Linked DNA regions of Oreochromis niloticus. The protein of the gene in region 1 purifies or fractionates together with the protein of each later gene. This does not show direct contact. Links are inferred from orthologs where the notes say so. Each region holds a gene or a part of one and is shown on either strand. Other genes may lie near its edges.

Region 1 (11,935 bases):
CACACACTGCCCTGAAGTCGCAGTTTCCCTTCATCCGAATCTCTAAACTGAACGAGCAGCAGCAAATGAACGACGTTAAGGTAGATTCACTACGTTTTAAAGCCTTCCTGCCACTGCAGGGGGGGCGGGGTTTGGATATCGAGGGAGGTGGGAGGGGCTTTTCACAGGTAGCAGAGCAGCATGGCGTCATCTTTCCAGTTTGACATATTTACACCATCAGGGCAGTAAACCCGCCTCTCACGCTAGTTGAACATGATGGACTCTGGATCCTGGTTCATCATCTGGGCCATGTGACGCAAAACGTCCTTCTTGGTGATGATGCCCAGGAGACGCCTGCATGGGAGGGATGCAAACAAAGGTCAGAGGTTGCTGCCCATGTGATGAGCAAAGGAAGAATGTGCAGATTAGAGGAGACAAACTGAAACTGCAACCAGATCAGCTTTACAGCCACTCTGATCACACAGATCAATCAACTACAGGAGAAAGTTGAGTCTAAGACCCAGCCTCCTGGCAGAAACAGCGAAGCATGGACACTGCAGGCTGGATCACAAAGTGTCCTGACCTCTAAACACCAGCTGGCCTCTCATATAAGTGAGTAAACATTGAATATGTTTGGGTTTATTTAAATCTTGGTTACAGGAGACCTATTTTCATTTTTATTTCTTTTAAATAAGTAACAGAGGTAATAAAGATGTAATAAAGATTAAAGAAGTCATAAATTAATTGGTTTTAGGAGTTTTAACAATTATTTATGTCACTTTGTTTCATAACTATTAAGACAAATGATCTCATTGAATCACTAGAGGGAGCCGTTTGACCTTAAAATAACCTAATGAAAAAGCTGCTGATCTCTTTGATCTGTAAAGCTAAGCCGGCTGCTGCAGAAATACGACCATAAAAACTTCAGCCCAGCTTCACCTTCCTCATCTTTTTTTTTTTTTAAGTGCATTTTTAGAAAAAGACTGGCACATAGAAGAGAAAACACTGTACTGAACACCCGATCTCTATTATTCTAGATAAAGCCCTGAAATACTGGCTGCTCTTACCAACAGAGCAGCCAATGACATCAGAGGTGAGAAGGAAACATGAAGCTGCTGCTTCTCTGTTTCCTGCAGACTGGAGAGAATCCTTCTCTAACATTTTAAAAGAATGATACAGATCAGCTTCTGAGCTACAAACGGTTTCAGGCTTTTTACTGATGAACGTCACTGCTAAAGTCAAGGTATTCACAGTATTTTTGGTGGCAGGACAACTGCAAATGATCCAGTTTGTCACCAACAAAGTGAAACTAAGTTTTCAGCACTTTGTAGGTGCTTCCTGAATGAAATCTGACCCTGTTTCTTTGAGAAGTTTCAACCCTCTAGCAGATCATTACATGAAGGAACCTTTTAAATACAAGTGCGCTCATGCTCACAGGTGTACACACGGGTGCTCACACACACAAACTACACCCTTTTTGGCTGCTACCTCAAAGCACACTGTGTGCTGTCGATCCTACGTGCTGCACAATAATATTCAATATTTAGTATTTACTGTTATACTCACATAGATCATCGCGATTATGTTGTTTATTATATTGCTCTCTTTTTTTGCTTGTTTTCTTTCTCAACAGGTGATCCAGGTGAGTGATATAAGTATTTTTTGTCTGTTTGTTTTTGTTTTTTTGCCCTTAATCACTGTTCCTCTTCCCCGCTGTTTTTCTTTCCCTACCTCTCTTTCTTTCTCTCTTTTCTTTCCCCCAGTCATGTCTGTCCCATATGTAGCAAATGAAAATAAAATAAAATAAACAATAAAAGCAAAGGTGAATCAAATGAACCAATACGGCAAGGCCGGGATGGTCCATTTGGTAAAGTAAATCCGTTGGGCATCTTTCTTTGCCTTTAGACAATAATTCTGATGGCAAAAGAACCAAACGGGACAGGCAAAAAAAAAAAAAGAAGAGAATTTTCAACCGTTTCCATATTTCAGGCTGTAGTGGAACGGAGGACGAATGGCAGTAACAGCAGATGGCATTGGGCGTGCTCTTACCCGCTCCTGGTGACCAGACACTGGCGCAGACCAAGCTTGCGGAAGATGTCCACCACGGTCTCCATGGGCGTGTGATCGGTGACGGTGAATGGGCTGAGGTTGAGGATGCGTCGCAGCTTAAGCGGCTGCGGGTTGCTCGCCGGCAGTTGCGGTGCGTCCTCGGTGAAGTAGACCACTGAGCTGCTCACCACGCCGTCCTGCTTCTGACGGGCGTTCTCTGTGGATGGAGCGAGAGGGGGGAGGAGTCAGTGGAAACATTTCGATCAGATTCACTAAAGACTAACGTGCATTTGCGGTTGACTTACTGATGGCGAGCGTGAGGTCTCTGCGCTGGACGAAGCCGATGAGCCTCTCTGACTCCCTGGACACGACCACGGGGAAACCGTTGTAGTCCGTGTCTTTGATCAGCGTCTCCACATCCTCTACCGTCGTGGAGTCCTGCGTGAGGACAGCCAGCGGCGGGTCGTTCCTGCGGGGACGCATCACGTCGGTGGCGAGCGTGCGGTGGGTGAACTCGTCCCGCACGTCCAGGTACGGGTAGCCGTTTAGCAGGATGTGTGACTCGTAGATGCCCTCCTTACCGAATGCATCTGCCACCCACTTGCTGGTGACGGCGGCGGCCATCAGGGGGACGATGTACTCCAAGCCGCCGGTGAGCTCAAACATGATGACCACCAGCGAGACGGTCATCCTCGTCACACCGCCTGAAGCAACACAAACACAGGAGGAGACTTAATTCAACCATTCACAGTGTGAGAAGTTTCTGCTGTTTACCAGAGGCAGCCAATCAGAACAAAGCTTGGGTTAAAGGGGGAGGAGCTAAAACAGCTTGTTTCAGGCAGGCCTGACACGAGGCCTCATCATGTCTACATCTTAAAGCTTCTAATGGGTGAACGGTGCACTCACCCAGGCAGGCGGCGGCTCCCACCATGGCATACAGTCCCGGCGTGACGCAGTCGGCGCCGGGCCGGCACCAGTTCTTGAAAATGATCCAGTCGTGGTGATGGTAGGCCATCTGCTCCACGGCGATCCCGACGATCCGCCCGGCGATGGCCCCGACCGCCATGCTGGGGATGAAGAGACCCGAGGGGATCTGAGGAGGAAAGAGATCAGCTCAGGGAAACAGAAACAGGAAACAAACACCGACTTCCAGCCCATCGTCTTCCTCGCACTGACCTTCATGCCGAAGGTGAAGATGGTGATAACGATCTTGAAGATGAGTGCGAGGGTGAGCTGCCACAGGGCGTTGTAGACACCAGGTCCCGCCGGGCGGTCCGGGATGTCGTCCACCGGCCGGCTCATGTTGGGGTTGTTGACGTAATCGCAGAGCTGCGATGACTCGAGCGCGCCGCAGTCGTTGAAGAGCTCTGAGATAAGCTCGCTGGTGCTGCGGCGGGTGTATGGGTTGGGGTAAGCCAGAAGGGCAGTGATCCCCGTTACTGCGATCACCTCCAAGACCGGGTACTTCCCCAGCTGTGTGGTCTTCCTCCGCCGGCACCAGGCGATGTTGGCTCGGATGAAAAGGGTCCCCCAGAGGCCGCCGAAGACGCCAAGCAGGATAAAGGGCACCAGCTCGGCCATGTACCACGGCGTGTGGTACTCCACATAGAAGAGCACCAGGCGGCTGTTTCCAAATGGGTTGATAGAGCGCAGCGTGAAGGCCGCGACCAGTGCGGCGAAGAAGGAGCGCCACAGAGTCTTCAGAGGGAAGTAGTAGCTGACCTGCAGGAGGAAGCACAGGACATCGTTAGGAGAGAGGAGGAGGAGCTACAGATACTCTGTGTCCGGTCTGATAGCCGACCTCTTCCAGGCTGAACAGGACTCCTCCAATGGGCGCACCGAACGCCACCGACACTCCAGCTGCCGCCGCTGCCGACAGCACCTGCAGGAGGCAGACACACATACATCTACGTGACTTTTTCTTCATCGAGGGAAGAGCGTGAACACTGTGAGGAAATCTTACTGCCCTTAAAAGGTCAAAGGTCAGGAGTGTTTTTCCCGCAGCATACCTCTCGCCTCTTGCCCTCATTCTTGCTGTACTTGGAGAAAAGGCTGCAGAAGAGGTTTCCGCAGCAACACGCCACATGGACCAGAGGACCCTCCTTCCCCAGGCTGAGGCCCGACGACACGGCCAGCACCAGCGTGACTGTCTTGATCAGCAGGGTCCACTTCCCCAGGTAGCCCCGGATAATGAAGCCGCTGAGGATCGTCTTGATCTGCACAAAACATGTAAACAGACGGAGACATGTGAGAGCGAACGCATGGCTGACAGCGCAATCAGACTCCATTTAAAAAGTCCAGCAGGAAAACTGTTAAAAACCATCTAACTGTGGTGTCCACTGATGTCATGGCTTCAGTTCCTGTCTCTGCATGGGGGCGTGGCCTAATGCCACCTACTGCAAGTAACACAGCTCATTAGAAGCCTGCTCAAATGAACTGAGGCAACTCCAACTGATTTAATTTGTTTATCCAGTGAAAAAGTTTGTTACCTCCGGGATTCCCGACCCGCAGGCGTACGGAGCGAACACTCGCACCAACGACACCGCCAGGAAGGAGAAGAGCAGAGCCCATAGGATGTACAGGAAGTAGTTCAGCACGTACGCTCCGGCTCCCTGAGAGAACACAGAGTTAGCTCATCACTCTGTCCACTCATTGAAGAAACACACACAACCAGTAAAAGCGGGCAACTCAACCTCGGCGTGGCCTGTCATCAGCTCCGCCCACTTCTGCCACTGTGGGCACTTGTCCCGGTCGTCAAACGTGGTCTCGTTGGAGGTCCAGCAGCACTGCTCATGGCTGTACCAGAACGCCGAGAGGCACACACCCTCCTTCAGATCCGTCATCCAGTCCACGGCAAGGTCGATCACACCGGCCAGCGTCCCTGTGGAGGAGAAGGGGAGGAGTCATTCCACCTCAGAGACACCTTCATCACTCTCAGACTGCTCCTGTTTCTCTTCCGGTGTCGCTTGGACCGCCAGAGAGACGTCTGCAGCTTCAACAACAGAGTAAGAAACAGAAATAAAGGTGAAAAGGAAGCTAGATAGATGAAGCCTTGGAACTTTAAACCCAGCAGCATTAAGGGGAGGAGGAGATCAGAGACACGGCGAGCCTGACCTGAGAGGAGGCCGATGAGCAGCATCACCACCCATCCCGACCAGGCGTCCAGCAGGCTCTTAATCAGCTCCCAGAGGGACTCTTTGCTCTTGCTGGTGATCTGCAGAAACACAGGATCAACTTACATGTTTGCTGTGTGGATTTCAAATAAAAGCTCACACATCACACCTCACAATGAGGAGGGAGAGGAATAGATGGAGCACACACCTTACGGTGGCGGTCCGTGTCCCTGGATTTCTCTCTCAGCCAGTCAATGGTGTGGAAGTCCTCGTACGTGCTCACATCGGGGAAAGGCTCATCCAGGAAGTCCATCAGGTTCCCGGCACCGTTCATCTCCTCTGTGGGCGTGGCGGCGCTCACACCTGGAAGAAAGTGAGGACGTCATCAGTGTTAATTTGATTTGTAAACACTCACTGTTTATTTAACGTTAATGTCCATGCTCATCAGTTTAATGAGATATCACCTGCTCAACACATTCATATAAATAAGAATAAAAGCTTAAATTAAAGATCCACGTGTTTTTAATAATATGCATTTCTGTTTATCCTGATGAGGAGGAGCCGGGTGCTGTCAGCCTTTACTGAATTCAAAGATCCCAATGAGTTAAAAGGAGGAGGGGAAACATTTCACCTGCCTCATATCACAGGATGAGGGCAGATCTCCTCACATTTACCTGCCGAACAACAACAACAACTATCTCCTCTGACATGAATGCAATCACCACCGAGAGTCTCCACTGTGTTTGTCAGACTTCACACCTGAAATGATCCAGCAGCACAAACAGCACCGCGGAGCCTTTATTTACGTTAGCTCCTGAGGCTAACCAGGCTAACTCAGCATCATTTCACTGGCTGTTGTTGTTGTTTACCTTCGGCGGCCTCCATGTTGCTCCGTGCTGACCGCTGCGGGTCTAAAATAAAATCTCTTCAATTATTAACTGATACGTTGTCAAATAAAAATGACATTTTAGTCAAATTCGGCGAGAGAAAAATAAATAAAAGCCGACAGGAACGTCGCAGAAGGCTCCGTGCAACCTGTCAGTATCGCGATACTTCGGGATCTCTCTTTGCTTGGACCCACCTCAAATCTCGTCGTGTTTCAGGTGTTTGGAGTCTTTTCTGCCCTCTGATGGCCACGCGTGGGAATTACAAGAAAGATTAAAGTTTGAAAAATTACAAACCAGTCAAAGTCAAATGTATTTATGTAGCACATTTAAAACAACAACCGTTGACCAAAGTGGTGTACAATTAAGATAATTAAGAGAAATAAAAACATAGGGAGACATGATAAGAGTTGAGAAAAAGAATCATAAAATTAGAAGATTTGAGTAAAAAATAAGATAAATAAAAGTAATACAAGCTCATTCTGATTTAAAAGCCAAGGAATAAAACTGGGTTTTCAGACGGGTTTTAAAAGTGTCCAATGTTGGGCAGGTCCTGATGTGAAGGGGCAGTTTGTTCCACAGTTTAGAAGCAGTTACAGCAAAGGCCCGATCTCCTCTGTGCTTTAATCTGGACCTCGGGACAGCCAGGAGCAATTGTTCCGCAGACCTCAGTGATCTTGCAGGAGTGTACCAATTTAAAAGATTAGAAATGTATGAGGGTGCTAACCTGTTCAATGCCTTAAAAACAAATAATAAAATCTTAAAATTAATCATAAAACTAACTGGCAGCCAGTGTAATGACGCCAGTATGGGAGATATGTGTTCTCGCTTGTGTGTGCCAGTTAGTAACCGTGCTGCAGCATTTTGGACCAGCTATAGACATTTAGCTGATGACAAACTAACACCAGAGTAAAGGTTATTACAGTATGTCTGTGAAGGTTCTCAGTCATCCAGGTCATTGTAGTCTAAGGAGCTTGGAAAGAAAAGCGTCTTCAGTTCGAGAGGTGAAACATCTTCAAGCAGCTTAAAGAAGTCCAGACGCTTTTCTTTCCAAGCTCCTTAGACAACTATTACAGTAGTCGAGGCGAGATAAAATGAAATCATGCATAGCTCTCTCAAAGTCTCTAAAACAGAGAAATGGCTTCACTTTAGCAAGTAGTCGAAGATGCAAGAAACTGGACTTGAATACAGCATTAATTTGTTTATCAAACATTAGATTAGAGTAAAAAACTCACACTCTCATAACACATACATAGGACCTTTGGGGTGGGTACGCTACACGGCATCCAGATGACCATCAGGGTGTACAACCCCACCCCTGGCGCCGTTGCCCACCTCTCAATTTTAAATACACGTATACATTGAGGGCTATCAGGAGGGGCTATGCGCTTACATGCTGCTCTCTGGCAGGTAGCTCCATGCCCTCCTGGGTTTTAAATGCACCTTAGAACACACATGCATCAACACTACATATGAGCGGGCAGAGGGAGGTTTGGAGTCTTCACACACCCACATTGTCTGTTGCCTGTTGGGGCGGGGGAGTTGAGAGGAGGAGTTGGCCGTCCGAATGGGATCTGGAATGTGGGGCCTCCCTGCTGCTGTGGAGTCAGGGGGGGTCTGCTTCTCTCCACCCCAGGGAAGAGGGTAACACTACCTGGGTCTGGGTGCAGTTTCCCTTTCCAGGGGCAAGGGTACCTAGACCTGGGGTATAGAGTACGCGTGGGGAGTGTGACTGTGTGTACAGTGTCTATTTATGCCTGTCTCCACGTTGGTTGAGTGCTGAGTAATTGCATATGAGAGCACGAGGGTGGGAATGGATGTTTGTATCTGTGTGTGCCTGTTTGTTTGTGTCTATATGTCATATCTCTATGTCTATGTCTATATCTCCTCCCACCACTCCCCCTACCAGTGGCAGATGCCCTCAGACATCGGTGCATTGGTGGTTCTTTGTGTCCGGGGATGGGCGTCCAGGTGCGCTGCTCACTCCTGGTGGCTGCTTGTCGGGGCCTGGAGCCTGGGGCTCGCTCTGGCCCCTTCGGGGGTGGGGTGTCCTCGGCCTCTGGGCCTGGGGCTTGGTCACTCTGGCACAGCTGGCTGCCGGCGGAGCTCACGGGCACGTGACTGCAACCCCCCCTGGCTTCTACTCCGCGGCTGCTGAGCGACCCCTCATCTGGGGCTCTCCTCAGCTCTTTCCGGGAGAGTGGCACGGCTGACCCTCTGTTGGTCTTCCTTGGTCTCTTGCTCTCTGAGGGCCTCTGGATTTTGGGAGCCTGGAAATTTACAATAACAAGGCTCGAATAAAAGAACACAGGATGGGGGGGGGGGAGTTACACTGATGTGGACTGTGGCTTTAAGTCAAGTCAAGTGGCTTTATTGTCATTTCAACCATGTGCAGTGGTACATTACACAGCAAAACGAGACAGCGTTCCTCCAAGACCATGCTGCTACGTATAACAGACAATGAGCACAGAACAGCATAAAGTGCAGATCTGCAAAAATTGCCAAAAAGCAAAACAAGAACAGTGCAACACCAGAAGGTAGTGACGTGCATGAAAGTGTGTGTGTGTGTGTGTGTGTGTGTGTGTGTGTGTGTGTGTGTGTGTGTGTGTGTGTGTGTGTGTGTGTGTGTGTGTGTGTGTCAGTCCAGTCACTGAGTGTTCAGGAGTCTGATGGCTTGGGGGAAGAAACTTTTTGCAGTTTGGCAGTAAGGGCCCGAATGCTCTGGTACCTCATGCCAGAAAGCAGCAGGGTGAAGAGTGTGTGAATGTAGGCGAGTGGCACAAGTGGGGGGAGTTTTCTCAGTGAGTGTCTGGCCGAAGGGAAGATGGCAAAATCCAACCTGAGTTCCAGTTTGTTAGATGAGCCAGTGGGCAGGAGGACCGCAGACAAGGATGGTGAGTAGTTGCTAAAATCCTGAGAAGCATGATGCTAGTCTTGTGAGAAACTTCGGGTAGAGAGCAGTGTCCAAAGGAGGTAAGTAGTTGACCGTAAAGTGGAGTCATGGTGTGGTTGCTTGGAGTAAGAGGAGATCAAGGTAAGTAGACATCGAGAAGTAAAGGACAAGGAATTACTATGAGGCTGGTTTCTTACCACCATAGGGTAGCTGATGCTGATCTTAAATACTCCTGATGCTGATTGCTGGCAGTGAGGAACAGGTGAATGAGACAGGTGTAAAATCTGGGCTCCATCCAAAAGGGGTGAATGCTGCAGGACCACGCCAGAGTGGAAAACCACGGGGCACTCAATCAGATTATAACAAAGTTATTTGAATGTGTCACCGGGACTGAAAGAAGATGCAAACTGTCACATTTAGATAACTGGAAATTGGCTAGGATGGTCAGGAACAACCCAGGAACCACCAGCACTTAAGCCTGCCATGAACCGGAAACTGCTGGAACACCAATGTCACTGTCCATCACCACTGTCTGAAAGGGTTCCAACCAAGAAAGAGTCCCCGCTCCAAAATGAACACCTTCAAGTTTGACTAAAACTTGCAGCTGCCTACATGGACAAGCCAAATGTCTTCTGGAGAATTTTTTATGGTCAGATGAGACAAACATGGAATTATTTGGACACAATGATGAGTATGTTTGGGTGAGAAAAGTCAATCAGACCTAAGAACTGTCATAAATCATGCTCTAGGGCTGATTTGCTGTGAAATTCTTTGAAAATGTATGGGTTAAGTCCATATCAGGAAATGCTTGGCATTTGCATTTCCACCAAAGAGAGTCTCTGCAAATATCTAGCCAGAATTCAAAAGCTTGCTGATCAAAAGGAAACTTGCCAAAAGAGACATTTATTAGTGGCGTGCATGTTTATATTTGAGCCTGTATGTAAACTTGACTACGTTTAGAGAAAAACCTAAATAAGTTCAAAGTTGTGCACCCAATTCTTATTTTTCTAAAGTCAGTAAAGATGCATCATGTGCAGTTTACCCCACCCTGAAAAAAAAGCAGTTACGACACCAGTTTAAAGATATTTACAACATTACAGTGAGCTTCACTTCCAATTGAATGTTTACTGGTAAACAATGTCTCTCGCCTGCTGAAAGAGGCGGGGGAAAACCTGAAGGATGAGAAATTCAGCGTCAGAATTCAGAAATGAAAGTGAGAGATACACCTGAGCAAAAATCTATTTCTCTTTAAAAGAACCTAAAACTTTGCTCATTGAGCCTTTTGCTACAACACAGCAGGGCTTCTGTCCAACACAGCTTATACAGGTGACCATGATCAGGCTGTTTTAATTGTCTAAATTTAAACTCTCCTCTTTCACAGTTTAGGAATCAAACATCAAATACAAAAACAACCCTACGCCCACTTCTCTGACAAACATGAGTTTTCTTATGTGGACAACTCTTTGGTAATCTTGAGCTGTGATTGGCTGAAAAATGATAAACTTTGTTGTTTCTTTGGTTGTTGAACCATGCGGGAACCGATACAGTGTATTGTAAATTATTAGAATTAAATAAACTAAAATAAATGTAGTAAGATGTGACACAAAACTCTAGATGGATGACATTCCACTGATCAAAGTTGGATGATAATGAAGGATGAAACTAAAAGCATGTGTAACAATAGAAATTCACTTGAGTGGAATCGGTTTCTTTTCAAAGGAACATTAAACTGAGCTCACTGATCCTTTCATATCAGCACAGCAGAGCTTCTCTCTAACACTGGTGAGTACAGAAGATCATGATTGAACTGTTTAAAAGTCCAAATGTGGATTCTCCTCCAGAGACAATGAAGTTTACAATTAAACCTCTAATCTCAGGGTCAACTGGATCCATCAGGTTTTCCTCAACAACACAGCAGAGTCTTTACAAACATTGGTAAGTGAACTCATGACACTCACTTTCACAGCAATTTGTTCATTCACGTTGTTTTAAATTTAAAAGGGACCAACATAGTTAGGTGAGAGTTTCTTTGACTTGTATTGTAAAGACACATACTTTGTGGACTTTTTGGTCAGACTTTCTGACATGGGTGGTATCTTGGTGCTGGGATCCAGTGGGGGGCCAGACATCAATTTTGCTTGGAGGGGCTTCTCATGTGGACCTCCCTAACTACCAACATGCAAGATGTTGTAGTGAGGAAACAGTAATCGCATCTTTGACAGTAGATGATTTATGGAAGTTGGTAACCCAGTAAAGACTTTAATGGGGAAAGACCAATAGTGTCATGTGAGGGCTGTGTGCAGGCAGGAGTGGTGGACCCAAAATGCAGACTCACAGCAGGCAAAAAGTGTACTTCAAAACTCAGCTTTTATTGCTGGATGGCAAACTGTAACAAAAACCCCAAAAACACAAATAAACTTACATAGGCATGCAGACAGAACACACAGCATAAATGAGAGTAGATCACGACACCAACAAACTGAAACACAGGGCTTAAATACACAGAGGGAGCAATCAGGGAATGGGCAACAGGAGGGAAACACAGCTGGGGCAATTTAGGCCTAACGAGACAAAGGAAGCACATCCAGACACATTTACATGAGACACGGACTTTCAAAGTAAAACAGGAAACATAACACAGACTGAACTTACAGACACAGACTCACAGGCAGGCACTACAACAGAGGGAACAGAGACGTGGGACCAGGGCAGACACAGACACTGACTGGACACGGGGATATAGCAGACAGGGGAGACAGCAACTAAGGATTACACAGAGACATAAGACAGAACTCTAACAAAGAAACCAAAGACTAGAAATGATAAATAATATAATAAACTCAAAACCCTGAGTCAACGACCCAGGTATCCTAACAAATAGAGAGAGCAGTGGAAGTCATGGAGTTATGTGTGTGTTTGATCAGGACAGTTTGAAGCTCAGGAGGACTGGTTAAAGGAGGCAAAACACCAAAGGGCAGCTTACACCGCTTGGGTAGCTTTCTCCGTTGCCCGGTGGT
Region 2 (12,480 bases), on another chromosome or scaffold:
GGTTTCCTCCAGTGGCCTGTAGTTTCTTAAGCTTCTCCCTCTGCTTCCTCTTCAGCTCCTCTTCATTCATGATGATCGGCTTGGCCGCTTCTGTGTTCGACGCCATCTTGATGCCTTCACCTTAGACAAGCTCCAAATTCCTGTGAAAGTTAATGTTTATTGTAAAATCCCAAACTCAGGTCCAGTGTGTCTCCCCTTTGTGAAAGCAGATCCTCCTCAGGCTCCCCTGGCACCCTCTTTCTTCTCCTTCTCCTCCTCCTCGCTCCTTTGTCGGTCTCACCCGGGCAGAGCCACAGGCCTCTCTGCCTGGCTGAGGGCCTCTGACAAAATAAGCCCACCACGTCCAGGAAAAATAGCAGGAGCCCAGAGTGACTGGAGGAGCAGTTGGCCTTGGTATAGTTTAAATTTAGATTATGAACCACCAGCAGGCCATGCTTGGGGATGATTATAAGGGTAGAGTGAGGGGGGGGGACTGTGTCTCTTTGTGTGATTTTGTTTGTGTATGTGTCTGTATATGTGTGGTTTACTTTACTGTCAACCTCTTATTTAGGATTCATAAGAAGTACAGAGACATGTAATCATTAAAAAAAAAAAAACACTATAATGCAGCTCTATGCATTTCTAAATAATAACTGAAGGCTGGTATTTAAAGGAATAATGAACAATAGGTATCCGTAAGTACACCCTAACCGCTGTAAGCGCCTCAGATTAAACAATAAAATCTTCACGTTTCCATACAGCCCATTATGGTGCCTTACAGACCGTTCATTGATTGTGTGGTGCGTGTAAATGCTAAATCAGGGTTTGCTGTTTGTGATATAGCTAAAAAGAAAACTGCAAAACTTCATCAGAATAATATTCAACACTGAATGATGGACTCAATACTCTGTAACATTCACTGTGACCAAATGATTTAGTGTTAATGTTGTTCATAACCAAACAATTTAAATGAAAGTCAACCAACCGACTATCACCAGCCCTTAAAACAGTCGGTAGAAGCGGCGCTGTTTTAAAACGTGTAATTCCCAAACCAGGACGTTTGTAGTTACACATTTTAAAACACCTTCTCAAACTGGCAACATGATCTTAAACATGCCACAGGTGACTGTTTTCCCAGCAGCTGAACACCACTCAACATGTAAGACTTCAATCTTCAAGCACCACAGACCAGTGCAAGAAGAACGCGCACTTACTGTGTACTTTGTCGCCCTCTAGCGCCATTAACAGGAACAGCAAATCTGAAAGGAGAAAAGTAATTGAAGGAGAAAAAAAAATTCCAAAACCTTTTTTTTTGAGGAATTTCCTTTTATTATTTCACGTCAAGCTAAACATATGGTTCTATAGCACACTTAGGCCAGAGATGCATATAAAACATTGACAGCAGGGATATTAAACTATAATTACAAATCAACTAATCAAAAAACAAAACAAAAAAACAAATCAATTAGAAACCAATAAACTTCAGTAGTTCATACGGTGTATGAGGTACAGTAATGCAAGCCAGTGTGCCTGTTTTTGCTGTACTAATAATTTCCCAACTGGGAGCTTCAGTAATAGGATGCGAGCAGGAATTCACTGACAGATAATGATGCACACAAGGCCCTTTCAAAGCCACGAAGCATCTGGATTCTGCCACACTAAACCACATTATCATCAGCTTTAGTGGTTTAGGGCATTCTCCTGTGATTTTTCTGAGAGTCCTTTTAAAGCTCTGCTAAATGCCTCCTTTTCTTTTTCTCTCTTTGCATGAAAAGAGTGTTTCGTCACATTGTGCTGCAGAAAAAAACAAAAACACACAGATGTGCTGCTGGGTTCAGTCAGAAAATTTAAAAATAAAATGAGTACAAATGCAAGCACTAGTTAACAATGGGTGAAATTTCTTAGTTGACCTTCCCGTCTGTTATTTTTAGAAAGCTGTAGAGTTTGGAGAAACACGATCTCCCACACAAAGAGAGAGACAGGAAAGGCACAGAGTGGGGCGCTGCTCAAATGTGAATATACAAAGTCCAAAATCAACAATCATACATTAAATTCATCCAGATTTAAATACCAATAAATAATTAGTGCCAAAACAATAGCAACAGCATTGAGACTGTATAGACAGAGTAGTCCTAATTAACTTAGCTTATTCTATCTGAGATCACATCATAAATTATGCTTGAAGGAAAAAAATTATAAATATTAACACACAATAAGCTGAAATGCTTTTGACAGCCAGTGCAAAATGGGAAAAGTTATTATTTTATTAAGACATTCAAAGCTGCACTGATGTCCAATTTGCTGAAAAGATTTGACATTAGGTCATCAGGAGTGCTTCAAGCATCAGTTTTCTTTAAACTGCAGCTTTGCCCATCTCAAGTTTTTACATCTAGTAAATAAACCAAGTTTAAACATTGTCGTGTTAGATGTGTGATGTTTAAATATTAATTCGGCAGATGCGGTGCACAGCAATGACAAAGAGGTTTTGTGATAGTGCCACTGGTGTAATATCAGACGGCCCAGGAAGGTTACGTACTCTAAACTTGGTGTTGAGGTCAGCCTTAAGGTTTAACTTAACAACTTGTGGCGGTCAAAGACTGTTTTGCGCTGCTCCTGGACCTGCTTTTTCCAGCGCTGCTGTGCTCCCTCAACCCGCTCCAGCACCGTGTTTCCTCTGGCCTGGCTGCTGCTCTCTGGCTGCGGACGCATCTCCTGAACACAAACCAGAGATGGTTTGAAATCAAGAACTTCAAACTCCACAGAAATCAAATAAATACATTGGAGTGTGCTTGGATGCTGTTTTTTTGAATGGTTACCTCAGAGTCTTCCTCATTGTGCAGCGGCTGGGTGTATGGGTCATGCTTGCGGATAAGAGGATCAACCAGTAGCAGGAAGAGCATGTAGAGCAGCAGGGCGCCCACAACCGACAGGTAAATGATGATGGTCACCTGTCATATTTAGCAAGAGTAACTCACTGAATCCAACATACAACCTTTGCAAACTATAAATTCTTTTCTTTTAAAAAACCCCAAAACAAAACAATAAACTAGAAAGGCTTTGCAATATTTTCAACGACTCATCTTATATGACAAACAATCACAATGACCCGCTTTGCTTGGGAATAAAAGCTGAGGAAGATATGTCGTCATATCCGAAGGAAAGTCAGTTGTACCTTAATTGTGTTGCTGCTTCGTTCTTCATACTTGCACTCACAAAGCAGACAGTAGGCTTCCACATCATGGCCAGGAACAGGCATGGGCTCCACTACATGCAGGCAGTTGCTGTGAAAAACATTAAAACGTTTGTCATTTCTACTGAGCTAAGAGAAAGAAAACCCCTAAAAACAGCAGCGCAGTGAAAGAGTAACGCCTTTTCTTTAAAAATCCATAAAAGTCTAAATAAAATATTTTTCTTACCAATCTTTCTGGGAGAAATTTCTGTTATAGATGTGACCGGTAATGTTTCTGTAGGGCGGGCAGATGCATTTGCAGCGGACATCCTCAAAGCTCTGCAAGAATTAAGGAACTTTTGTGAAAGTGGCCCCAAATTCAGCCCATCTTTCCCCTACAGCACTACTTGAGACGTCTCTCTATTATTAACACAAGCAGTTAAACAAACAAACACTCTGACATATACTCCAGTTATTCTAAGTCAAATGGCACAAACACACAGATGAGCACTAAATTATGAGATCCTCTATGGAAGTTTTATCTTTTGGAGTATTTAACAGTGCAAGAAGTTTTAAAACACAGCTTTTCTTTTTGGATGCTTACATAATTTTAATTTGGGCACAGAAACAAAATTATTTCACATTAGCCAAAAACTACCAGAGCCAAAACTATTAGCCTACGATACTATACATTTGCAATTTCCAACCAGTCTCACTCACACCTCCTGAGTGATCCCACGACAATTTCTCAAACGCCTCCAAATTCGATGGTCTTTTGGAGGCAGTTCTTCACAGGAGTGATGTATGTTTTGGGTCATTATCGTGTTGGAAAATAAAGCAAAACCCAGACCCAGTTTTGCTGCTGACTGCTTGACGTTTTCTTTCAAACACTTCACATATCCATCTTTTATGATACCTTCTACCTTAATGAGATTCCCAGTGAGTTGTACACCTTTTCCCTTTTGTCTCATCTGACTAAAGGACTCACTTTCTATGCACACTCATTCTCCAGGTTGACCTTGGCATACTTCAGTCTGCTTTGAAGGAGTCTCTTCTGCAGAACTGGAGTTTGTCTTAGTCTGCAACCTCGCAGTGTATTCCTACTTCTAGTTCTTTAAGACTACAATCCCCAATTTGGCTAAGAAATCCACGAGTGTCCTGACAGTAGTTCAGGGGTATTTACATAATCATTATTTAGATAAACTAATGTAAGACTAACATAAACAGGTATTCTTTAAGTAGATGTAATTGCATAATTGTGCTGGCAATATCGCCCTTGAACTATTATTTTACATTTCGTTATTTAACTATACAATCTTTATATTTCACTGAATAAAACTGAGCACAGTTTACTGAACATCTTCCCATAAACAAAGCAATACTTGATGAGATTTAATCCACAAACACAGATCCTCTGTGTACCAGCAGGTCTTTTACCTTAGCTCGAGCAAAAACGACAACATCCAGCAGAAACACGGTCACCACTGCGGCTGCAGCAAACATCCAGGATCTTCCCCAACCACACGACATTTCCCCAAAGGCAAAACACCTGGCACGACGACTGAAGGATCACCAGCAAGGCTCTGTCAAAATATAGCAGTTAGCTAGCACTGCAAGGCAGGAAATCCACGACACGAAATGTCGTAAAAACAAAGCTAGCAACGCGGTAACTTACGCTGTGAGAGTGAGGAAAACGTCTGTTTCTGCTTTGCATTCAGGTTGAAAGTGTGCTCTCACTTTGTTTAGAGCAAAGATCGACAAATGAATTTTGTCCTTCCTTATTCCGGACTGTCGTCACACATGAAGAAAACAATCCGACACCAAACATGCAGAGACAGCGCCACCTGCTGGACAAAATAAGAAGTAAAAATAATAATCAAGAATTCATATTTATCAAGCAGGTTACATTATAATCACTTACTGTCCCTCTTTATGTGGGACTGCACAACATTTTTATCCACCCCCGCCCACATACAAACACACATATCTTTAGACAGTGTCTCACATTTTGACTGGTTCTGCAGGACATGCGCTTTTCTAAAGTCTGGCTTTTACCAGTTGCATATGACGGGAAGACTTTTTTATTATAGTCAGAAAAAGGAAAAAGGTCAGCCTGTCTGATGTCATACACATCAAAGAAAGTTACCAAAGAAGTCACAAGCTTTGCAGATTTTATTAAATATGGTGGAAGCTACCAGAAAGAAAAAGGAGATGCAGCATATTTTGGAGAAACAGAGGGGTTTTGTGTGGGTTTTTTTTGTTTGTTCTTTTTTGTTTGTTTGTTTTGTTTTGTTTTAGTTTGGTTAGCTCTGCCCCCACACAGCAAGAAGGTCCTGGGTTTGAATCCAGTCTGGAGCCTTTTTGAGTGGCCTTTGCGTGCTGATCTGTCCGGGTACTTAAGCTTCCACCCACAGTCCGAAGACATGCATGGAGTTAGGTTCACTGGTAATTCTAACCTGCCTGCAGGTATTAATGGTTTTCTGTCTCTATGTGCTGCACACTGGCAACTAAGGTGTACAAGGTGTACTCTGCCACTTGCCCTATGACAGATGGGAAAGGCTCCAGCTCCCCTCCGAGTGGAGGAAAGTATTGTGTTAAGTGACACAGTATATGTGTGCCATGAATGAAAATAGCTAAAATTGTCAGATATGGCTAAAAATGCATGCCAAACTATGCACACCGAAACCCCCAAAACTTTACCAGATAGAAAAGCAGCTTAAGTAAAAGTGAAATGAAAGAGAATATGGGAGTATATAAAGACTATTGCATTAGACCATAACAACAAACTTAGTCCTCCCTCTATATCATATTTACCTAGCAAGAGAGATGAAATAACAATCCAGTAACTTGCACAATTGACTGTATTTTTGAGGTTTTGATCCCAGCATTGTTCTTACATCCCATAGACAACATTTTCCCCACATTCAGTTTGTTGGGATCCGGTCAGTGTACTTGCAGTCTTTCATTAATTTAATCAAGCCATTACTTTTCTGTGAATTATTGCACATTTTAGTCCTCAGTGCTAATTGCTTTCCATATTTGACATTTACAGTAGTGAGTGGAATTGTGAAACTACAACGCCTGGACCAAAGGTTTGCTTTCAACAGTTTAAACAGCATTTTTTTTTAAATTTTTTTATCAGCATTATAAGCAAACAAGCACTGTGGACTCCAAAGCCTCTTATCCATCTTTACTGTTGTCTTATCAGACATTAGTGATGTGATTAAAGTGTGTCATAGCTGAAGCTGTACATATACAGAGCTCAGATTTACAGAACTGCAGATTATAGAATAAGCAATTCAACTATGAAATGTTTACATTTTGACCACCTACAACATTAAAATGATGCTTAAATATTAATGTGTCTAAAAATTAGATATATCAATAATGCATAATTCCAAATAGCAATCATATGTATAATATACATGAAGCAGCCTTTATTTGTAACATTAATGTTTTTTTAATGACCAGAATAATCAAGGATATTTTATATTGTTTTGGTCAACACTGCTCTTGTGTCAAATCCAGTTTCCCTTTTGGAATTTGAAATATGAGTCTTAGCTTCTTGACCCAATCAATACCCCTATTTCCTGGTAATCCTGCTTTCACATCTCTCTGTATAGTAAGCTACTCATACCTTTAATAAGCCACAGAAATCAATGACTCACAAATTCTGCCTGAACCTCTTGAGCTTTCGGTCATATAGATCAATCGAGACCGTGGTTGTTTCTCTAATAAGCTACGATATCAGCGTGAACAACAGAGCACCGTCTGTGTGTAAACACTGTCGTTCATGTGACCTGTGATTCAACCACTTAAATCAGCTGCAATGCTGCCAAGAACTTGTTTATTCTATATATAGTATGGAGATTTGGAGTGCTGGGATTTCAGCTTCACAAAGGATGTGAACTCAGTCAGTTTATGTCTGCCTACAAGGTTGTTGTTGTTGAGCTATTTGTACGCCTAAAAAATGTGAGTGATGGGAGACTTAATCATGTGAAACACATACACAGATCACGGAAGAAATCCCGGAAATCCATATTTTTACTCATTTTTCATGCTGTACAAATTACTTATTTTAAAATCTATGACCGGGCACCATTTCTTCCTTTAGAAAACAATACATTAAAAAAGATTTCTACTCTTTTACTGAAATATGTCAACCATGATGCTGTTTTTTTTGGGTGGGAGTTAACAGGTGATACTTCACGGGCATTTATCTTTAAAAAAAATTTTTTTTTTTGCTGTTTTATTTTTATTCACAGTTAGCAGGTTTAGTTTTATGAAAAGACAAGAACTGGTCAGATTATGTGGAGAAAACCTTTCACCCAGACAATATTATGCTGGTGATGTCTTTTACGTTGTCAATGACCTTTTGCTGTTGATATACTTGGCAAGTTAGTTCTGAATGTTTTAAGTGTGTTTTGGTTTTTAATTGATTCCTCAATTGATTACTTCATGAACTCATGCATGTACTCCTTCATTCGTGTAATGATCTCCGTCATAATTCGACTCATAAACGCTTTAGATGGTGATTTGTGCGAGCTCTCTATAATATATTTCATTCTCTCACTTCTGTCATTGTAAGCCACTTAGTTCTCATCTTCTCTGATGCATGGCTGCCCTTTAATCCCCAGGCCAATTACAGCATAAATGACACTGACCAGAGCCTAGTGCCAGGTCTCATTATCAGTTCAGACTTCTTAAGAAAAGAAAGGGGATTGAGTTCTTCTTTGGGTAGACTTGGTAAAAAAATATTCATTTAGGAAAGAAAAATGAATCTAGTTGTTTATGTAAAGTGGTTTATTACCACTCAACTAAAAAAAAAAAGCGCTGTAATTGATGCGGACAGATACAAATATTTTGACAAAGTCTTTAGCCAGTGAACTGCGAACGCAGCCTGACTATAAAACAGCAAAGGGAAATGATCCATAATGGAAACACTGCGGAGAAATTCAACTCATAAACAACATCAGAGGGTGTCAAGTTCTCTTACTTGTCAAGGTACCTGAAAGTATCGACTGAATCACATTACTCAAAACATTCATTTTCCAGGGACCTGAAAGCATCAGGCACTTTGCCCACTAGGAGATGCTATAAGGCCCAAGGCAAAGCAAACTCAATCTCGACCAGCAGACGCTAGTCAAAGCAGACTTTGTAAAGATCTGGAGAGATGTAGATATGATCTAGGGCATATAAAATAAAACAAGAGAAAATATATTGTGAAATTCAAAGATAGAGCCACATAAAACCAATTAATTATTAGCTAAACAGCTACAGCAGCACTGTAGATAAATACCTACCTTATATGACTCACCTATAGGATGCTACAGGTTTTTGTCCTTAATCTAGCATTTTCAATACACCCCTCAACCTTTCAGTATGTTTCTTTTTGACCTTTATCACATCATCTGCAGTGTCTTTTTGCCCTCCTCTGTATCATGCTTTTGGAGAGAACACTGTTTGAATAACAAGACTATCTCTGAAGCGATATCTCTCCTCTCCTCTCCGCTGAGGTGGTGCATTGTGGGCAGTAGGACTATTCTAATGGACACACGTGGTAATTACAGTAGTGGGAGGTAGCAGACAGTGGTGATCCAGGGACAGCGCAAAACTATAAATCACAACTCCTGGTTCCGCCCTCCTGAGCGTAGCCGATCACAGTCAACCAAAAAGCAATTCTGCCAACATGTGTTTGCACATTTGTCTTCATCAGCCACTGGCTTGTTTTGGGCCCCTGGAATTGAATTTTTCTTTCCCATGGTAATCAAACAACGACTACTTCTTAGGTGTTTCACTCAAAGCCCCCTGCATTAGGTCTAAATATTAACCACATGTGGAATAAACTTGTCATTTTTTGTGTTTAGTTTGATCCTGTTGAAGTTACAGGAAAAAATATCAAAGAATTAATAAATTACAAGATGTTTTTTTAAAATAAAAAAAGCTCTGTGTGATCTTCAAACAGAGATAGAAGATAAAGATCACCTGTTATCAGTTTCAGTGATGGAGGTAGTGTGAGATGCTTGCTCGAGAAATGTTGTAACCAAAAGAGGTGGCAATAGCAAAGGTGTTAGAGCAGTAAGCAGTGATGGTGACTCAGAGTACAGTGTGTGTCCTGCTCTGCTTTATCTGTACGGACAGCTGCCTGTCAGCCAGCTGAGCCCATGCAGGGGGAAAGGTGTCTGCTGAGGAGCTGGTGTCAGCAAGGTGAGAGCCGAGCCCGGCTACGCTGAGCTGAGCTGAAATGGATGCAGAGGAGGGAGTGTCTCCTGCCTCTGAGGGACACCGATTTTCAGCAAGGAAACAGAGACTGCTGGAGCAGGAAACTCAGCCAGACAGAACATGAAAGCCAAGAGCGGCCATGACACATGATGGACACAAACGGAGGAAGGGAAGCCGTCCCCGCACTCACCCGCCCACCACTCGCTATTCCTCTCCTTTAGCAGTGTTGCACCCCTGCAGGAGGAGAAAAGAGAAACATGGCGATGATGCTTGAATTGCAGTGGCTCTCGGGTGAACTCTGCCCCCGTGTAATGTGTTGTCTTTGATGTTGCACAAGATGTTAGAGAGACGCAGGGAAACTTCAAAGAGAGCTTCATAGGCCAATTGCAGAATTGGTCAAAAAAGATAAATAAAACAGCAAGCTGCCAGAAATCCACACGCATCTTTCAAGGGAGACCAGGGGTCAGGCAAGAAGACAGCTGAAAACAATAGCAAGAAATGAAAGGTGACATGGATTGAAAGGTAGATAAATAGCTGCAGGGGAGGAAGGAAGTTTGTTGTTGGTATATAAGGATGCAATTTAGGTTGGAAAAAACAGCCTGCTGGTTTAACAAATACAGGCAGGCCGGTCAATAAACTGTCAGCTATTAATGTCTACTTTAAGTGACAAGGCCCCCCAGACTGATTTATAGAGCCAGCGATGCATAGAATCCTTACAGATAAAAAATGTTAGGCACCTGGCCGATCAAGTCAGCGAGCAAAACACAACACACACATGTCAGTCAGCAAAAAGCACCGATATAGATATCGATGTGGATCTTCTTTCAGAGTCAGCGCTCTCAAAACAGAAGGAGGAAGGTAAACAGCCAAAAGTCACCAAGAGCCTTTTTTTCCCCGACAAAGCGATTCCATGATCAGAAAATTTTGTCAGCTCTAATCCTTTGGAAGGAGACTCCACTCCTTCCAAAAGGTAGGGACAGAGGTTTCTGTGTGATAAGTTTTCCCTAATGAGGTGATACAGACATTGCCACACCCTTACTCCATCTCCTCATGTCAGTCTGTGATCTACCTGCCCCAGCTGCAGGCCACATCTGGAGGCACGATGGATTTCATCCACAGGGGCCTCCTTCGCCAAATGTCACTGTGAGTCATCTTCCTTTGTTTCGGCATTTGTTGCAATCTGACCTGGCAGCTCAGTGGTGCGCCACGACGGACTGCCACTGACACGTTCACATACACAAACAAAACTATTCTCCAGACATAAACGATATAAAGTAAAAATGTCTTTACAGGCGTGTCATGGTTCGTATTTGAGGAAGAGACAGACGACTGCAAAGTCCCAGTGTGTCAAAACAATGATTTTATTACAACACATACATGTGGGAAGCCGAGCACGATCACCCAAAAAGCATCGGTCTTCTCACAACAATAAATGGGGTGTGATATATATAACATATGATGACAAGTAATATGCGTCACAGCAGATAAAAAACATACATGTTCCAGTCATTCCAACCTTGAACATCTTCTAAAAAAAGAACAGTTCCTTCCTCTGTTCCTCCACTACATGTTTCCTGTTATTTTACCTATTACACTTATTTGGGGAACTGAACTGTCACGTATGCAGTTTCTTTGCTTGAAACTTCGCAATTTCAAGCAAAACAAGTCTAGACACTGTGTATGTGTGTTCAGACAGCCCATGTGTCTTAACCTCGGTGCATGACCTTACTCTGAGTCATCTGTTACCAGGCAGAACTCCAATGCAGTCGGTTGCTGAACACACAGGCCTCTATTCAGTTTCTAAGTTGTGCGTGATGTATTGTAAGCATGTATGCAATTCTTTCATAACTCAAGGTCACTTTACTCAATAGATCAGTCGGACCTCGCGCCGCTGAAGCTTCCGACCATCAATTAATTGACCGAGCTTCAACTCTTTAATTAGCACAAAAATGCAATGTGTATAACATGAATACAGTTGCACCTGCAATGAAAGATTATCATGTGATTAAGCTACCACCTGAAATACAGACTTGAAATACAGACTTTAACCTCAACAGCTTCAAAAAATGTGTCGATGAAATGATAACTAATGCAACATGAATAGTAACAGCAAAATAATTTTCTAATCTCTACAGGCGGTATGGTTGAGTAACACTTAACTATATTTGTTTGGTGCTTTCTGCCCGGAACAAATCAGACGTAAACCCTGTGATATAAGATCAAACTTGTCATCTCACAGCTTCAGAAATCAATAGAGCCCCACACTCTACCACTAATCTTCAACACACATGGAGCAAGCTCTGGATGACTGGTTCAGAGACGGCGGCAGGAGCAGAGCAAGGGGAGTAAAGGAATAAGGTAAGATAGAGGAAGGTGACAGTAAGGAAAAATGAGACGTGAGCTGAGTAATTCACATTTAAAGCTATTTATGTTAAGTGTCTGCACATAGTTCTCTTTAATTTGCCCCAAATTTTATTAGTATAGACTGATTTTTTAGATTTCTGCTTTCACACCAGTACAGTGGATGCATATTGGAGTTTGAGGTTTATTATGACATTAACAACAACATGTATTTACATAAATGCTTCTCTCAGTGACCCACACAACTCACTGTTGTAGAAGAAACATTTTATGATATCGTGAAGCCTTTGACAGCAAGGTCTGCAGCTATAATCTAAAGTGACGTAAATACATGAACGGTGTTTTAGTGTAACTTTTCAGTGCCTTACTACATACAAAAATAAAACCCATGTAGGATGGCGTAGGATCAGTGTAGGAAATGACAGAAATCAATTAAATATTTCAAAAATAGGAAAGTAATGTAATGTGTTTCTTCATAATGTACAAATCCAATGTTCGATCTGCGTGATCTAGGTTTGGAGCTCGATCTAGCTATTAAAAGCCAAACGGACACCTGGAGTCTCAACCTAAAATGTGTGCAATTAAGTTACAAACGCAGATCTGAAAATGTGGAGAAGCTCTGAAAAATATAAATAAAAACAGAATGCAAGGATTCACAAATCTCACAAACGCATAGAAAACATATCAAATGTTTCAACTGAGAAAACGTACCATTTTAAGAATGATACGACAAAGAAGACCAAGAACTG

The links.
Region 2: the proteins of clcn4 (region 1) and tmem9 purify together in Homo sapiens (co-immunoprecipitation; 3 studies listed by BioGRID and IntAct, with this or other methods). This does not show direct contact. The link is inferred for Oreochromis niloticus from reciprocal best matches to the Homo sapiens genes CLCN4 and TMEM9.

What each region holds. Positions count from the first base shown.
Region 1 is NC_031986.2:24,150,756-24,162,690, forward strand, and holds the start of clcn4 (H(+)/Cl(-) exchange transporter 4), read right to left. Parts: upstream 6,206-11,935; 5' UTR 6,027-6,205; coding exon 6,011-6,026; intron 5,505-6,010; coding exon 5,350-5,504; intron 5,243-5,349; coding exon 5,143-5,242; intron 4,910-5,142; coding exon 4,722-4,909; intron 4,641-4,721; coding exon 4,518-4,640; intron 4,245-4,517; coding exon 4,038-4,244; intron 3,911-4,037; coding exon 3,830-3,910; intron 3,751-3,829; coding exon 3,205-3,750; intron 3,122-3,204; coding exon 2,935-3,121; intron 2,733-2,934; coding exon 2,334-2,732; intron 2,246-2,333; coding exon 2,029-2,245; intron 334-2,028; coding exon 243-333; 3' UTR 1-242. UniProt on the Homo sapiens protein: Strongly outwardly rectifying, electrogenic H(+)/Cl(-)exchanger which mediates the exchange of chloride ions against protons.
Region 2 is NC_031984.2:20,020,295-20,032,774, reverse strand, and holds tmem9 (proton-transporting V-type ATPase complex assembly regulator TMEM9), read right to left. Parts: upstream 4,985-12,480; 5' UTR 4,824-4,984; intron 4,732-4,823; 5' UTR 4,679-4,731; coding exon 4,586-4,678; intron 3,488-4,585; coding exon 3,396-3,487; intron 3,261-3,395; coding exon 3,152-3,260; intron 2,928-3,151; coding exon 2,796-2,927; intron 2,692-2,795; coding exon 2,548-2,691; 3' UTR 1,285-2,547; downstream 1-1,284. Other genes in the region: cacna1sb (calcium channel, voltage-dependent, L type, alpha 1S subunit, b), read right to left, coding at 1-106. UniProt on the Homo sapiens protein: Transmembrane protein that binds to and facilitates the assembly of lysosomal proton-transporting V-type ATPase (v-ATPase), resulting in enhanced lysosomal acidification and trafficking.